3 linked regions of the Zea mays genome follow. The protein of the gene in region 3 interacts with the protein of the main gene of each other region in a pairwise test. Links are inferred from orthologs where the notes say so. Each region holds a gene or a part of one and is shown on either strand. Other genes may lie near its edges.

What was found. The genes of interacting proteins can lie anywhere in the genome.
Region 1: the proteins of two-component response regulator-like PRR1 (region 3) and Transcription factor PHYTOCHROME INTERACTING FACTOR-LIKE 15 interact in a two-hybrid assay, tested with the Arabidopsis thaliana proteins (3 studies listed by BioGRID). The link is inferred for Zea mays from reciprocal best matches to the Arabidopsis thaliana genes TOC1 and PIF3.
Region 2: the proteins of two-component response regulator-like PRR1 (region 3) and Adagio-like protein 3-like interact in a two-hybrid assay, tested with the Arabidopsis thaliana proteins (2 studies listed by BioGRID). The link is inferred for Zea mays from reciprocal best matches to the Arabidopsis thaliana genes TOC1 and FKF1.

The regions. Positions count from the first base shown.
Region 1 is NC_050103.1:1,249,183-1,254,130, reverse strand, and holds the start of Transcription factor PHYTOCHROME INTERACTING FACTOR-LIKE 15, read right to left. Parts: upstream 3,055-4,948; 5' UTR 2,905-3,054; coding exon 2,747-2,904; intron 2,663-2,746; coding exon 1,576-2,662; intron 1,504-1,575; coding exon 1,411-1,503; intron 1,298-1,410; coding exon 1,232-1,297; intron 1,154-1,231; coding exon 1,088-1,153; intron 982-1,087; coding exon 493-981; intron 407-492; coding exon 293-406; 3' UTR 279-292; intron 168-278; 3' UTR 1-167.
Region 2 is NC_050099.1:216,203,453-216,208,373, reverse strand, and holds Adagio-like protein 3-like, read left to right. Parts: upstream 1-1,867; 5' UTR 1,868-1,933; coding exon 1,934-2,190; intron 2,191-2,933; coding exon 2,934-4,533; 3' UTR 4,534-4,877; downstream 4,878-4,921. UniProt on the Arabidopsis thaliana protein: Component of an E3 ubiquitin ligase complex that plays a central role in blue light-dependent circadian cycles.
Region 3 is NC_050099.1:145,826,248-145,831,476, reverse strand, and holds two-component response regulator-like PRR1, read right to left. Parts: upstream 3,229-5,229; 5' UTR 3,100-3,228; coding exon of another isoform or gene 2,952-3,099; intron 2,730-2,951; coding exon of another isoform or gene 2,620-2,729; coding exon 2,568-2,619; intron 2,477-2,567; coding exon 2,343-2,476; intron 2,219-2,342; coding exon 2,051-2,218; intron 1,879-2,050; coding exon 1,797-1,878; intron 1,689-1,796; coding exon 835-1,688; 3' UTR 588-834; downstream 1-587. UniProt on the Arabidopsis thaliana protein: Controls photoperiodic flowering response. Component of the circadian clock. Expression of several members of the ARR-like family is controlled by circadian rhythm.

The DNA.
Region 1 (4,948 bases), on a different chromosome or scaffold from region 3:
TAGGAGCATCTTAGCTCGCTAAAGCTAGACGTCCTGTCATGGCCCTGTCTTGATTGATTGGACTCTTTTCAACTGACGGATCTGCTTCGTGGATCTTGAAACTCGTTAGGCTCTTTTCCAGGATGAGTTGGCGCTGATATTCACATCTGCAGCCTGTTAGTCGAGACCTGAAAAGTCATGAGCCATGTTCTCTATTAGGATACGAATATTTTGTGCCAAATTCAATGATTTGTGTCAAGTTTTGCATTGAGTCAGGTCACACACACACAGAGACTCACCTGCTGAGTGTTTTTCATGTTTCAGCCTCATTTCTTCCTGTACAAATAGCCCTGTTGCCACCACCATCCAAAAACTGATCGCTCTCGGTTTGTGCTGAAGAGGGCACACTAAAATGCTGTCTCTCAGCCTGGAACCATTGTGAAATTTGGATATAAGAGATCCAGGCGAAGATCTTTTCAGCTATTTTTATATACACTATTTGTGAAACGCTACCTGCACGATAGTCTGAGGATCTGATGCTGTTGCTGCTGCTGTTGATGCTCCATTATTCAGGCTCTGATGCTGCTGCTGCTGCTGTTGCTCCTGCACCATGTTAGCCATGGCGGCTGAGGAGGCGTGAGGAGGTGCCAGGTTTGGCCTGACAGGAAGGCCCGCCAAAGATGGGAATGGTGGCTGGATTGGTTGCCCAGGAGGGACTCCGAACACCGGCATCGTGTTTCTGGCAGGCATTCCGATTCCGAGACCCCGTGGTAGTGGCGCGCCTGGGATCATCGGGCAAGGGAAGTGAGCACCGGGCATGTGCGGAAATGGAACCGCCGCCGCCGCCGCCGCCGCGCTGTTCATATCGAGGACACCCATCCCGTAACCCAATCCCATGCCGAGATGAGGGAAGTGAGCAGCAGCCGGAGGAATCTGCAGGTGCTGCATGGCTGGTGGCAGCAGCATGGGAGGAATGCACAGCCCACTTCCCATGGACATCATCTGTGTGATGTGTCAGTGCATCAAAGAGAACCACCATATATCTTGTCAGTGCATCGATCTATATGGAAGAAGAACCATGCTACATTTCGAGTTTTAGTCAGTGTACCTGCACTTGAAGCTGGAGGGTTTTGAGGTACTCGATCGCTTCGTCCAGCATGGAGGCCTTGTCAATCTGCGCGCAATGAGAGAGATGATGAGACGATACATCTGTTTATTGCTACCAGTTCCATCTACCATCTACATTTCATACCTTGTTGCAGTTGGGGATGAGCTCTTGCAGGGCACGCATTTTTTCATTGATCCTGTCCCTTCTCCTCTGCAGGTTTGTTGTTGCATTGCATTGCATGCATTACAGTGCGGTGAGTTCAAGTGCACAGCTCCAGGCTCCAGCTCGAGATCGATCGCATGGCATATTGGCATGGGACTTACCCTTTCGGACAGGTTGTGCACCTCCGCGGTGCGGCTGCGCTTCGCACCTCTGCTGCACGATCTTCTCATCCCACCGGACTCATCGTCAGGATCCTGAAGAGAAGAGAACCAGTGTTAGATACTCCAGTGTCCAAGGTGTGCGATATCTTCACATCCTCTGCTTACATCATCTTGACTCGCGGAACACTCGGCCTGCAGGGTCTTCCTCTTCTGTTGGCGCCAGGACTCGTCGTCCTTTCCTGTCCCAGCACCATTGCCGGAGCAGACCGATGAGGTGGCGGTGGCGCCCGCAGCCTCTGACGCCTTCCTGGTCTCTACTTCTTTCTGCGGAGGAGTCATGTTGTTGTTGCTAGGTCTTTCTTGCTGCAGGTTACCAGCCGTCGGCGTCGGCGGTGGCGCTGCTGCTGCGCATGGAAACCGCACCTCCTTGGGCTGCTGCGACGGCCACGCCGTCCTCTGGTCCACGAACACGGCGGGGGCAGCTGCAGTTCTCGGCCCACTGGCACTGGCCGACTGTAGCACCGTCGACTCCACGCGGGTGCTCGTGGTGGCATTGGACGCCTTGTCGGTGCCTGTCTGTGGCGGCCTCTGCCGCAGGCTGGCACGCGCCATGGCTGCCGGCCTAGAGAAGATGGAGAAGTTCATCAAAGCCTCCCCGCCGCCGCTCTCCTGCCGAGGCTTCCTGGCGGGCGCGAGCTCAGCTTGTGGTTGTGGCTCAGGCCTGCCGGCTGGACCTGGTACTGGTGCGCGGTGGGTTTCCTTTGAGGGCTCTGGTCCTCTGCCGGTGGTGGGATTGGGAACCGGGGTGCTCCGGTTGTCGTTGTCGTCGCCGGTGTGCTGGACTGCTGGTGGTGGTGGTGGTGGTGGTGGCAGAGGGCCGAGGCTCGTCGTCGCCGCCGCCGCATGCAGCTCCGAGAAGAAATCTGGGATGAAGCTATCTGCCAGGGCAGGCGCGGCGGGACTGGCTTCGTCGACGATGGGGATGGGGTAGTGGATCCACGGCACGGTGTCGTCGAGGTCGGCGTTGTCACGGGGGGCGTCTAGGCCGGCGGTGGCCGAGGAGAAGTCGGCAAAGAGACCTCCTCCCGTCTTGAGCAGCGGCGGCACCGGCTGCCTTTGTTGAGCTCTGCTGCTGCAGGTGAAGGTGAAGGGCGGGAAGGCGGCCTGCTGGGGCGGGTGTTTCCTCGTCCGCGCGTGCACCACCGCCTGGCCGTTCTCCCATAGCAGCTCGGCGAAGTCGCTGCTGTCGGACCTGCTAGGCAGCGGTGTTAGCAAGCAAGCAAGCAAGCAAGAACCCGGAGACAAGGTTGAGCTTGAATGAGAAGGAACCGCTCACATGGTGCCGGGGGTCGGAGCTCGCAGCTGGGAGAGGACAGAGGACACACGCTTGGCTTGATGAAGGTGATGGGAGCAGCAGGGCTCCTTGCTCATAAGATACGGTGTCGGTGAGCAAAGCACTGGGAACGGACGTCGTAGATAGGTGCAGTGCAACATGCAACAGGAGACGCTGCTGCTTGGTGTAGACTGTAGAGTGCTACAGGAGGGAAGGTCGTCGGGACGGGAGCTCTCGCGGCGAGCGGGGGCAGGAGGGGCACAGTTGTTGTTGATAAGGTGGGGGACCTGGGCAAGCGCTAGCTGTGACGGAAATGGACAAGCAAGCACGGTGCTCTGTACCGGCCAAGCTAGGTGTGTATCCACTGTGCTGTGCTTGCCACAGTCTCTTCCTTGTACTCTTCTTCCTCTCCTAGCTAGGAGTTGAGTTGGGCATACAGTGGCAATTATTTTTCGTTGCGCAGTTGGCTGATCCCACAACCACAAGCTTGTTACTACTACTGCTCCGTAGTACTAGTACTTGCACAGCGAGATCTAAATGATTGGATGGCTTCTTTCTTCCTTCCCTGCTGCGCACCTTGACAGCCTGCGCAAAGCAACTGCACCCCAACCCCCCAAGTGTGCATGTACTTGCTGGTACAGAAACCGAGCCGTCTATGGGCATGCGAATTAACAATTACTATCAGAACCGACGGCTTTGCCGAGTGTCTGAAACACTCGGCAAAGCCTTAAAAACACTCGTCAAAGGTTTTACCGAGTGTCGCACTCGGCAAAGAGGGCTCGGCACACAGTGCATCGGCAAAGTCTTCTTTGCCGAAAAAATTTTCTCGGGCACTCGACAAAGTGATTTGCCGAGTGCCAGAGAACACTCGGCAAAGAAAAGCAGACGTTACGGCGCCGGGTGACGAAGACGGCGTCTTTGCCGAGTGACTGCCTGACAACACTCGGCAAAGAATCCGCCGGAGGGGTTCCCCATGTCAGGTACTTTGCCGAGTGCTTGGTGTGGCACTCGGCAAAGCGTGCTTCTTTGCCGAGTGCCAGAGCCATTACACTTGGCAAAGAACCTATACCGGTGCCCAGGTCTTGGTTCTTTGCCGAGTGTTATGGTTCTGACACTCGGCAAAGAGGTGCTTTGCCGAGTGTTACACTCGTCAAGACCAGTACACACCTTTTTTATTTGTTTTCCCTATTCCATCCAAACAAACAAAAGATATTTCATAGATATCACATATATACATCACAGACATATATAGCCAACACAAACAGTATTAACACAAATTCTGACATAAGTATTCAACATAAGTTGAGAGGTTCTCAACACAAACAGTATTAACAGAAGTTCAGAAGTATCAACACAAGTTTACACGCTCTGACAAGTATTCAACATAAGTTTTGTGTTCGAAACACTAAATACATAACTCTCATGGAGGTGGGCGGTTGGACTGGTGCTGCGTTAGGTTGTACCCTTCATGAGGGTTGTTGGATGCCGCCCCAGATTGGCCCTGCACAGAGAAGAGATTGCATGTGTTATACCAGATGCATTACCAACATGTAACTACAATTTTGGTACTCACAGAAGTATGGAACATAGCAGGGTCAACTGCAGGGAACAATGGAGGTGGCGGAGCGAAACCCTGTGCAGCGCCTGTTGGAGACTTGTTCTCAAATGCTATGAGTTAAGAACAAGGCAACATAGAAAAATGTTAATTGTTGAAGTCCTTCGTCCTTCGAAGCATTATTCCTCTCAGGATATAATGATTTTCGGACGAAGGTTATGAAGGGTGTACCTTCATAAATACAATGACGAAGGATGAATTATAAGGAATATAAAGAATATCATAGGCAATTACACATTATTATTATTAATTTATCTTTGCATTATTATTATGCAAAAACAGAAATAACATCGAATTACAAATGTACCTTCAGCTTGAAGGAGATGAAAGTACAAGTGTGACGCAAAAGCGATTGTCAGATCAACGTGAACAGTACGGGGGTACTGTTCACCTATTTATAGGCACAGGACACAGCCCATACAAAATTACATTTATGCCCTTTACATTTGATAATAATTCTATAGTAATCTATCGAGGTCTGAATAGCCTTTTCATCTTTAAGTCGGTTTCATTTTTTGCTATCACGCCGAAGCTTTCCTGCTCACACCTTCGGCGCTGTACCAACCTTCGTATTATTCTGGTCTGCTGTG
Region 2 (4,921 bases), about 70 Mb from region 3:
TCCGGCTCGGGGACTTCCTCCGTCCCCGGGACACGAGCAACACCGCCGCCAAAGTAACCCAACCGCTGCATATCTTGCACGCGGACCGACGACATCTGCGACACACCAAAATCAACAGAATCGCCCGCGCGCAACTCCTCCGCCATCAAACTACTCAGCGTCTCCTCAGACGAGGCGTCGGCCGGCGGCGAGGCGGCGGCCGGCGGCGTAGCGGCAGCGGAAGAAGAGGAGGTCGGCATCGCTACGTACCATCGGCGGCGGCGGGCGGTCTGCTTCACTCGAGCCAGATCTCCGGCGAACAAGAGCACGGCGGGCAGACGAGCAGCAAGGCGGTGAAAAAGGCGGCTAGGGTTTTCACGGAGCGCGGAAAGTGAAGTTCAAAAACCGCCGACCCCCGCCCCCTTTTATAGACAGGGCGTGGCTCTTCGAGAAACCCGCAATTCAACAGGGCGCGGCGCTTCGGGAAACCCGCAATCCAACAGTACGCTGTCAATCAACGGTCATGTCAAAAACCCCCGCGGAACCACTTCGAGCGAGGGCAGCGTCTCCGCCATCTAGCGACGTCTTCGGCACCAGGTGACTTTGTCGAACTGGTCCCTCGGAGGGCAAATGTTGGGGCGAAGGCAAAGACGTCACCCTTCGCTCGAGGCCTTCGCTGCAGTCGCTGGTCTGACAGAGACAAAACGGGCAGGGACACCCTTCGCTCGATTCGGCACCAGACGAAGGCCTGCGACGGCGTCATCCCACAGTGCGTCCTCGTCCAGCTCAGAGGCCCACGTGTGATCCGGCCCATTGTAACGGGCCCTGCGTGGCCGCCGCGTGTTACGGCCCTAATTTGTAAAGGCATCCATGTAATTACAGTCTGTAACCCTGCTTTATGAGAATATTCTGGGGATAACCTAGGTAGCTGAGGGCACATGCGTCCTTAGCACAAGGCGCTGGGCGCTCAGGTACCTATAAATACCCCCGCACAGTGCCCGTGGGAGGCCAGATTAACAGAGTTATTGTCATCTAGCGTGTAACCCTACTAACGTCACTGTTCACCCTTGTTGGCCCCCCTTGCTTGTGAGAGCGAGGTCCAACACCAATAAAAGTTTGTGTTAAATAGTTAAATTTTGTTGACTAAGCTATTGTTCAAAAGGCTATAGTAATATTTTCTTTTAAAAAAAATCTTAGTACGTGTACGTCTCTTATAATCTGGAGAGTAGAGAGCAGGTGGCTTTTACACATTCGCATTAATTTGAAGAAAACCGAAAGAGCAATGTCGTGCACGCGACAGCAGCGTCGCGGAAGAAAAGGAAATGCAATTTCTTTTCTATTGAGAGAGAAAAGGCAATTTCTTTCTTATACCGGTAATTGTAGCCAATACCCTTGTTACATTTTAATTTCCAAAAGGAATATTATTGGTCATGCTGAGGGGCGAAGCTACATACCGAATCGAGGCCAGTAATTATGTATACACACCCTTAAGACATGTTCTGTGTCAAGGAAGAAAAGTACATGCAATTTCTTTTATATAAGAAATGCCACTATTTATATTTCAATTTCCAAAAGGAATACTATGGGACGTGCTGCCAGTCTCCACCGGCTTCTTTCCTGCGAAGCGAAGGAAAACCACGACGCACCGTTGGTTGGGAGATCCAGTGCCTGGTCCACCGGACCCAGCTGACGCACTCCCTCGCCTCCGCGGGCCCACCCTGCCGCCTCCGCGGGAGATATTTTTCGCCACCCCGTCGGGGCAGATTCCGTAAATAACATGCAACCACGCCCCTTTTCTGCCGCTCTTCCCGCGCCTATAAAAATCAGGGGCAGAAATATCTCCCCTACCTGGCAGCAGAATCTGATCTCCATTTTCCTCCCGCACCCAACCCAACCACGGACGCACGCCGAGGAGGGAGAAAGCGGGTGTGGAGGGGCGGGCGGCCGGCCTCGCATGTTTGACGACGCGGGGGCCGTGGCGGTGAAGCGGATGAGGCTGTGGGAGGAGGACGAGGTGGAAGTGGAGGAGGAGGGGATGGAGGTGGACGCGGAGCCGGGATGGCCGTGGGGAACGCCGGCGGCGGGGCTCTCCAGGGCTGCGGCGATCGTCGTGGCGGACGCGGCGGAGCCCGACTTCCCCGTCATATACGTCAACGCCGCATTCGAGTCCGCCACGGGGTACCGCGCCCACGAGGTGCTCGGGCGCAACTGGTCAGTGCTATGCTATGCTATGCTCCTGGCCTCCGCTCTGTTTTCTGCTCTGTTTTTCTCTGCTTGGGGACTGACAGATTTGGGCTGCTGCGGAATGCCGCTTGCTTGACGAAGAGGGAGAGCATGTTGATGATTACCTATGATATATTTTGCTTGATATTTAGGTTGCACTTCTAAAGTTGGCCACATGCACATAGAGAAAGGAATTCTTCAAGAATAATAATACCTAGAATATATGGGTGTACAAAAAGTATTTGTTGGCCATGACTTGCAGGTGGTAGACTCAAAACCTGGTTGTGATTATGTTCTCTGAAACTGGATGTTAATGGAAGAATAGGAAATCATTGGGAATTCCAGTTTACTTCATATCATTATGTTGAATAGAAGCTAGGTGGTCATTGTATCGAGTATGAAGTCGTATTCGCATTTAGCATCAGATCTTCAGTAGTGAATGAAATTGGTAGAAATTCAAATGCTGTGCCGAAGTAGCAGCATGGTAACGGCCAGTTTAGGAACTTGTTTCCTGCTAATGTTGACATAAGGTAGCGAACATCCACATGGAAGCAGAGAGAGGTCATTTATTTTTGTCAGGCTAGTCGATCCAAATAATTCCATACTATAACGTCTTGAGTAGTTATTTTATGATTGCTTGTGCCAACCTTAAATTTGCTAACAGTGCCAAACTTGACAGAGGGCCTATCGGAGCATCTCACAAACTGTGTTCACTCAAACTTGTCTTTCAGCCGATTCCTGCAATTTCGGGATCCACGAGCCCAGAGGCGACATCCCCTTGTTGATCCCATGGTCGTTTCAGAGATCCGGCGATGCCTCAACGAGGGGATTGAATTCCATGGCGAGCTGCTAAATTTCCGGAAGGATGGCGCTCCACTTTACAACAGATTAAGTCTCATTCCAATGCACGGGGATGATGGCTACGTGACACATGTGATTGGAATCCAACTATTCTCCGAGGCAAACATCGATCTCAGCAGCGTGTCGTATCCGGTGTACAAGCAACAGACCAACAACAGGCCCAGCATTCAAGATCTGAACTCAGCTTCCCATGAGCATGCTCCGAAAGTCCAGAGTGCAGACCACTGCGGTATACTTCAGTTGTCAGACGAAGTTCTCGCACACAACATTCTGTCTCGCCTGTCACCTAGAGATGTCGCATCCATTGGATCCGTCTGTACCAGGATGCATGAGCTTACCAAGAATGATCACCTGAGGAAGATGGTCTGCCAGAACGCGTGGGGAAGGGATGCCACTGTCAAGCTTGAGATGAGCACCAAGATGGTAGGATGGGGCCGTCTTGCGAGAGAGCTAACTACTCTTGAGGCCGCCTCGTGGAGGAAGTTCACGGTTGGAGGGCGCGTCGAGCCTTCCCGATGCAACTTCAGTGCCTGTGCTGTTGGTAACCGCTTGGTCCTTTTCGGAGGGGAGGGTGTCAACATGCAGCCTATGGACGACACCTTTGTGCTTAACATGGAGGCTGCAAGGCCGGAATGGCGCCGCGTGAAGGTTTCCGCCTCCCCACCAGGCCGGTGGGGGCACACTCTGTCGTGGCTGAACGGGTCATGGCTGGTGGTATTTGGGGGCTGCGGACAGCAAGGTTTGCTCAATGATGTCTTCGTCCTTGACCTTGACGCTCAGCAGCCAACGTGGAGGGAGGTTGCAAGCGAGGGTCCTCCACTGCCACGGTCCTGGCACAGCTCATGCACCTTGGATGGTTCGAAGCTGGTCGTCTCCGGTGGCTGCACCGAGTCTGGCGTTCTCCTCAGCGACACCTTCCTGCTTGACCTCACCAAGGAGAAGCCTGCGTGGAGGGAAATTCCCACATCTTGGTCACCCCCATCCCGCCTCGGCCACACCATGTCCGTCTACGGTACGACTAAACTGCTCATGTTCGGTGGGCTGGCGAAGAGCGGCTCGCTCCGGCTGCGCTCCAGCGACGCCTACACGATGGACGTCGGCGAAGATAGTCCGCAGTGGAGGCAGCTGGCGACGACCGGATTCCCAAACGTCGGCCCACCGCCGAGGCTCGATCACGTTGCGGTGAGCCTGCCCTGTGGACGGATCATCATATTCGGTGGCTCCATCGCGGGACTCCACTCCCCGGCGCAGCTGTTCCTGGTCGATCCAGCAGAGGAGAAGCCGACGTGGAGGATCCTGAACGTTCCCGGCAAACCCCCCAAGTTCGCCTGGGGGCACAGCACCTGCGTGGTTGGCGGCACTAGGGTCCTCGTCCTCGGAGGCCACACCGGGGAGGAGTGGATACTGAACGAGCTACATGAGCTCTGCCTGGCAAGCAGGCCCGACGACGACGACGATGACCGCTACTGACTAGTTTCGTTGCACATGGTTCATCTGTTTTATATGCTATATGCTATTGTTCGTAACTACTTCCAGTATGTTGTTGGGTAATCGGTATGAGAAAAAATAGTGGAAAATTAATTAAAAAAGTTAGACTAGAAGATTTTAGTGTATTTTGTTTTCATCGGAGAAGTTTCCTTTTATCGGTCTAGATAGATTCTATGGTCTATATATTTGTATATTTTTTGTCTAAAAGATCAAAAAAAACTGAAACAACTGCATTGTAGATTCGCATGGCAAAGTCGCCAGTTCCAATGTCTTGTACTCTTATTTTTAATCATATGTAAAATATAGCGCTGCTTCAGTTTGTAGGTATGGAATTAGCCAATGCTTCAGTTTATTGTATTGATGTCTTCGG
Region 3 (5,229 bases):
AGAGCTAATAGTTAGTTGGCTAAAAATTTGCTAATGAAATTAGCTAGCTAAAAAATACTCCCTCCGTTTCTTTTTATTTGTCGCTGGATAGTGTAAAATTGCACTATCCAGCGACAAATAAAAAGAAACGGAGGGAGTAACTATCTAACTATTAGATAATTCGCTAAAAGTAGCTAATAGTTGAACCATTAGCTTGATTGTTTGGATAACTATAACTAAATTTAGCAGCTAACTATTAATTTTAGTGCATTCAAAAACCTCATAAGTTCTAACGACTCCACAGATATCAAAGAGCCTTAAGTCTGTTCTCTTACCGTTTTAACTGTTTTTTTAACTCTTGGCTGTTAAACAATTTTCCTTGTTTAATTCATTGTTTAGGATATAAAGTTGTTTGATCTGTCCAAGCTGCCGCTGAATTTTTGGGTGATACCTATAAATTGACTAGTTAACACACAACATAAACATATGAGTATTAATCAACGTAGTTCCCCATTCCTCCAGAAATGGATCCTTGGTCATCTAAAAGACACATGGAATAAGGAATAATAGGAGGAATGTACAATAATAGCCCTGTTTTTCTCAAAAGATTATCCTGCCATAAGATCATATTGATTAGACTGGTCTGTGCAACAATAACTAGCAAAACTTCAGCTACACTTTATCAAAGATGATTTCTTCATTAAAGCAACCAGGGTAACAGCCACATGTTTTAGGGACAAAAATGTAATACTGTGTGTGAGCAAAAAGGGTGTATTGCCTAGGTCTACTGAGTTGTAACAAGATGAGCAGTAACCATCTGCAGTCTATTTTTTCACATGGAGGACCTCTCCACTACTACTCTGGAGAAGAAACCATATCTACCTCCCTGGACGATGGATCGTCATCTTCGTCTTCAGATATATCATCTCCAATGCTGATGACATCCGTATTGGTTGGCTGTCTAACAAACTGACCTCGCACCCTTGGCCTCGTTTCAGCGAGTTTCTTCCGGTTCACATACCTCACCTTCTTGTCAAAGCAGCGCTCTTTCCTCTTCAGCCTGAACTTGGCAAGTGCTGCAGCCCTCCTTTCAGAGCGACTGCATGTTTCCTCAGGCACTGGTGGTGTGCTCGATGCCGATGACCACACATTTTGCGTTGGTAAATGACTTGAGTGCGTACTCATGCCAGAAGGATTAAACTGAAATGATGGTATCACAGGTAAACCATGGCACTGAGGATAAACATTGTACTGAGGAAGCATCGCTGGCGGTGTATGTGCTTGAGCATTGTTTATGTTTGCTTGAAAATCTTGCGCCGACGAAAGTGCCATGTTGTGCTCTACCATCCCTGGGTAATAAAATGGGAAATGGTATGCAGGTGGAGTTCCTGAAGTATCATTATGGCCTTCGCTGCTTCGCTCCATATGCATGTTAGAGGAAGAAAACCATACCATAGGGTACTGCGCAGGCATCTCAAAAGCTTCTTTACTCCGAATATTTACATCAGTACCAGTGTCACTTCTATCGGTTGCGCTAGAGCAATTACCCTGGTTATCCAAGGAATCTAATCGGCTGCCACCCCTTTGTAATTCGCTGTCAAATGAGCTGGTGGCTGGGGTGCTTGGCTTGACATATGCTAGAAATGCAGACGACTCGGCAACCCTCAGGTTAGTTTTTATAGGGCGTGAAAACGCTCTTCTTGGAGAGGCTGGCAATTAAAATAATTGATCAGAAAACAGATAGAGAAATAAAGGTGATTAACAATACAAGATCAGATATTCCAGGGCAGAACAAAGGTCCGGCTGAAACATCTTACATTTTTTACTGGCATCTAGGGCAGAGCCTGGAACACCCTCCATCTTTTCTCTCTGGTCGGGCTCAGCAACCGAAGGATTAGACTGAAACACGCCAAGTGGAAGGGCATTTAAACAAGTATACTGTTAGCATGTCATCAACATACAACATAGAGCCAAAAGGGCAGATCTTTGTGGCAACGTCAAAGAACAGAACTGGAAACATAAAAAAAACCTGGACTGCAACAATCTTCCAAATGGGTGCTTGGTTCATTACCTCGTATTCAAGTTGCTTTGAGGTGCCTGTTTCTTGATTCGTGTTTCCTTTAGGCCTATCGTCGGTCTCGTCTGAGAGGAGGGTGGTGCTATTGGTATTGGCATCGCTAGGTTCTGAGAGCACCAACTCGAAGTTGTCATTGAAGAAGTTTTTCTCGGGCAAACCAAGCTGCCAACACCAGCACTCGATTTAAAGAATAATTCACGGCGGTACATCAACGCCTACGAGCATCTCAGCCTAGAGCATGCTTCTAAACGCAGAGGTTAAGGTGAGTCAGCATAGTGCCCTTTACCATCCGTCTCCGCCGCCACACATGGGTCCAAAGGTTCAGCAACTCATTCGTGCGCAGCGGCTTCACCAGGTACTCGGCGGCGCCAAGCCGCAAGCACTTGACAACAACAGACACCTCGTCTCTGTTGGACATCACTGCACGGTTCCATCGAACAGGAGGATGGTCACAGCAAGCACAATCACAGTAACAGGCACGAGGCAGGCAGAGTATAGGAATGCAGCCTACTTATGATGGGGATGTGACGCAGGTCCTTGTTCCGGGCAATGTACTTGAGCATCTTGAAGCACTTGGAGACCGGAAGATCGACCTCAGCCAGGATGATGTCGATCTCGCCGCCCTCGTAGTTGAGGATATTGATCACCTGCCGCGGAGACTTGGCGCAGGTCACTGAAAGAGAAAGTTTACCGTCACAACAGCAGCACAACAGTAAGCTGAAGGCACACATGACACCCAACAGATCCCTATCATTACAAGCCATCGTATTGGTAGTATCTATAGTACTACTAATGATTAAGCCCATGGTGAGAAGCAAGCAGAGTCCTAAATCCGGAAATCCCAACGGTTAGAGAAACTAAGTACGTGGGGGTGCAAAGGTTGACTAAGGCTAACCATGGTATGAGCAGTTGCAGAGGAGCCGCAGCACCTCCCGGGAGCTGGTGGCGTCGCCGTCGCAGAGAAGAATCCTCACCTTGCTCCGGTCCACGAACTGCTGGGCTCCCCCGACACCCACGCGATCCCCCTCGCCGCCACCCGCCATACCCAAACTCCAAACGCACCGACCACGCCTCCGGCCTCCACCAAGCGGCCAAGGGGACACGGACCGGAACCAGAGACACAGGCGCACGACGAGGGGGTCGGTGGATCTGCGCCCGCCGCCTATCACCCAATCAATCCGGGCCCCTCGCGTGCGACCACTGTGCCTTCAGATGGCTGGTTAGCAGCAGGTAGACTACTATCAGCGGCGGCGGGGGCCGCCGGGGGCCGCGGCGCCCTCCTTCGCCCGTCGCGGTCCGGCCCGCACCATTCTCCGGGGGCGGCGGCTGCGGGCGATGGCGTCTGCTCTTCTCTGCTGCGGCTGCGGCTGCGGCCTGCGGTGCTTCGCTGGAGCAGGATATTTTCCTCGCTTTTTCCGCTTTGCTCAGTGAGCGGGGTTGGGGGCACGGAGCGGCCTTGCTTCTCTCGCTCGCTCCGCGGGGAGAAGAGAAGAGAAGACGAGGGGAGGGCCGGAGGGGAGAATGCAGAGCCAGCCGCACGGCGCCGCGGCCGGGGAGTAAAATAAAAGCAAGGAACGGCTGAGCGCGCTTGGGCGAGGCGGCCAGGAGATCTCGGCCGCCCGTACCGACGTCTCGTGCAAGCAGCAGCTGACTGACGGAGCGGGTGAAAATATCTAAAACTCGCCTCCGTCAAATGCTTCGCTTTTGGCTACGTGTCCGCGAACTAGTCGCTGAAATGTTATAATCCTCGTCGGCCATCGATTGTGCGATTTTAGATTTCTTTAGACCTGTACTGCGATTTTTGGCAAAAGGACGAGGTGGAGCCACGCCCACGCTTTTGGGTTGCTCCTGGACTGGACAGTGTTACTATTTACGTCATTACGTGGAAGGACAGACACAGACCGGCTAGGTGGGGTCAGGAGCGCGACCTCGCGCTAATCTCCTCTCGTTGTTACAAAATATTATACTCTGTTCCAGAAAGAATATCATTTGACTTTTCTGAGATAAAGATTGATTGACTCGTTTTATTCAAAAAAATTTATAATTATTATTTTTCATTATGATTTAGTATCATACCGTTTACTTTAATTATAAACTAAAACTTTCTATATTTTCACAAATATTTTGAATAAGCCAAACCGGTAAAAATTTGGTCTAAAAAAAGTCAAACGACAACCTTTCTGGAATGGAGGGAGTATATGTGACCAATCAAAGATCCAAGGAATGCGACATATTTTTTCCAAGGGATACACCCCTTTGTGATACACCCCTTCATATGTATATAAACAAAACACCTTTGTAATAAAGAACTAACTGTTGTCACTTTCTCACTAACCTCGTTTTCACTAATTACAACACATTATTAGCACGTGCTCACGAGAATAGAGAGAGAAGAAGAAGAACGCTCGCTGTTTTGACAAGAACGGAGGCACCAGCCTCCAAAACGACAGGAGAGGCATGGAGCAAACCGTTTTCGTTCGCATCCGTCGAATGCGTGAAGTTCTCCATGTCGTCGATGATGCACTGTTGGAGGCGTACGCCGCTGGCCAAGATGCAGCGATCCAACCGGTGAACGCCATCATTGCACGCCGCGTTCAAGTGCACAACGTGGACTTTTTCGTGCTCCACGGATAGACAGCGATAGTGCCGCTGCCGGTGGTTGAATGCGGCCTCCCCATCGCGCTCCCATCACCGTCGGTGCCAATGGGAGACGCGGAGTCGTCGGCGACCACACCCATGGAGGTTGACTTGGCACCATCGCCTCCTCCCCCCACTGCAGCGGCAGTTCATCATCGTTCCCAACCCTGCTAGAGACGTTTGTCGCCGGGACCATCGCTGCCTGTCGTGGACAACCCCTCACATCGTAGATGCCCCGCGCGGACGCATCATCTTCACCAGCCACCGCCCCAATGGGGTGGCCTCAACCTCCTCCTCCAATAGGAGGGCCTAGAGGCCCTCGAACCGGTCCGTGGCGGTTGCCGCCACGCCGCCAAGTGGGGGGAGGGGGGAGGGATGACGCCGGCAAGCCCCGGCCTCGGCGGCGCGGCCGACCACGTCTCCGGCGAAGGGCGGCCATTGCCCGGTCTAACACCTCAAAACAATCAACTAGAAATAATGCATTTAGATTATTAGTGGTAAATATAGTATTTGATTTTTCTTTCAAGTGTTTGGTC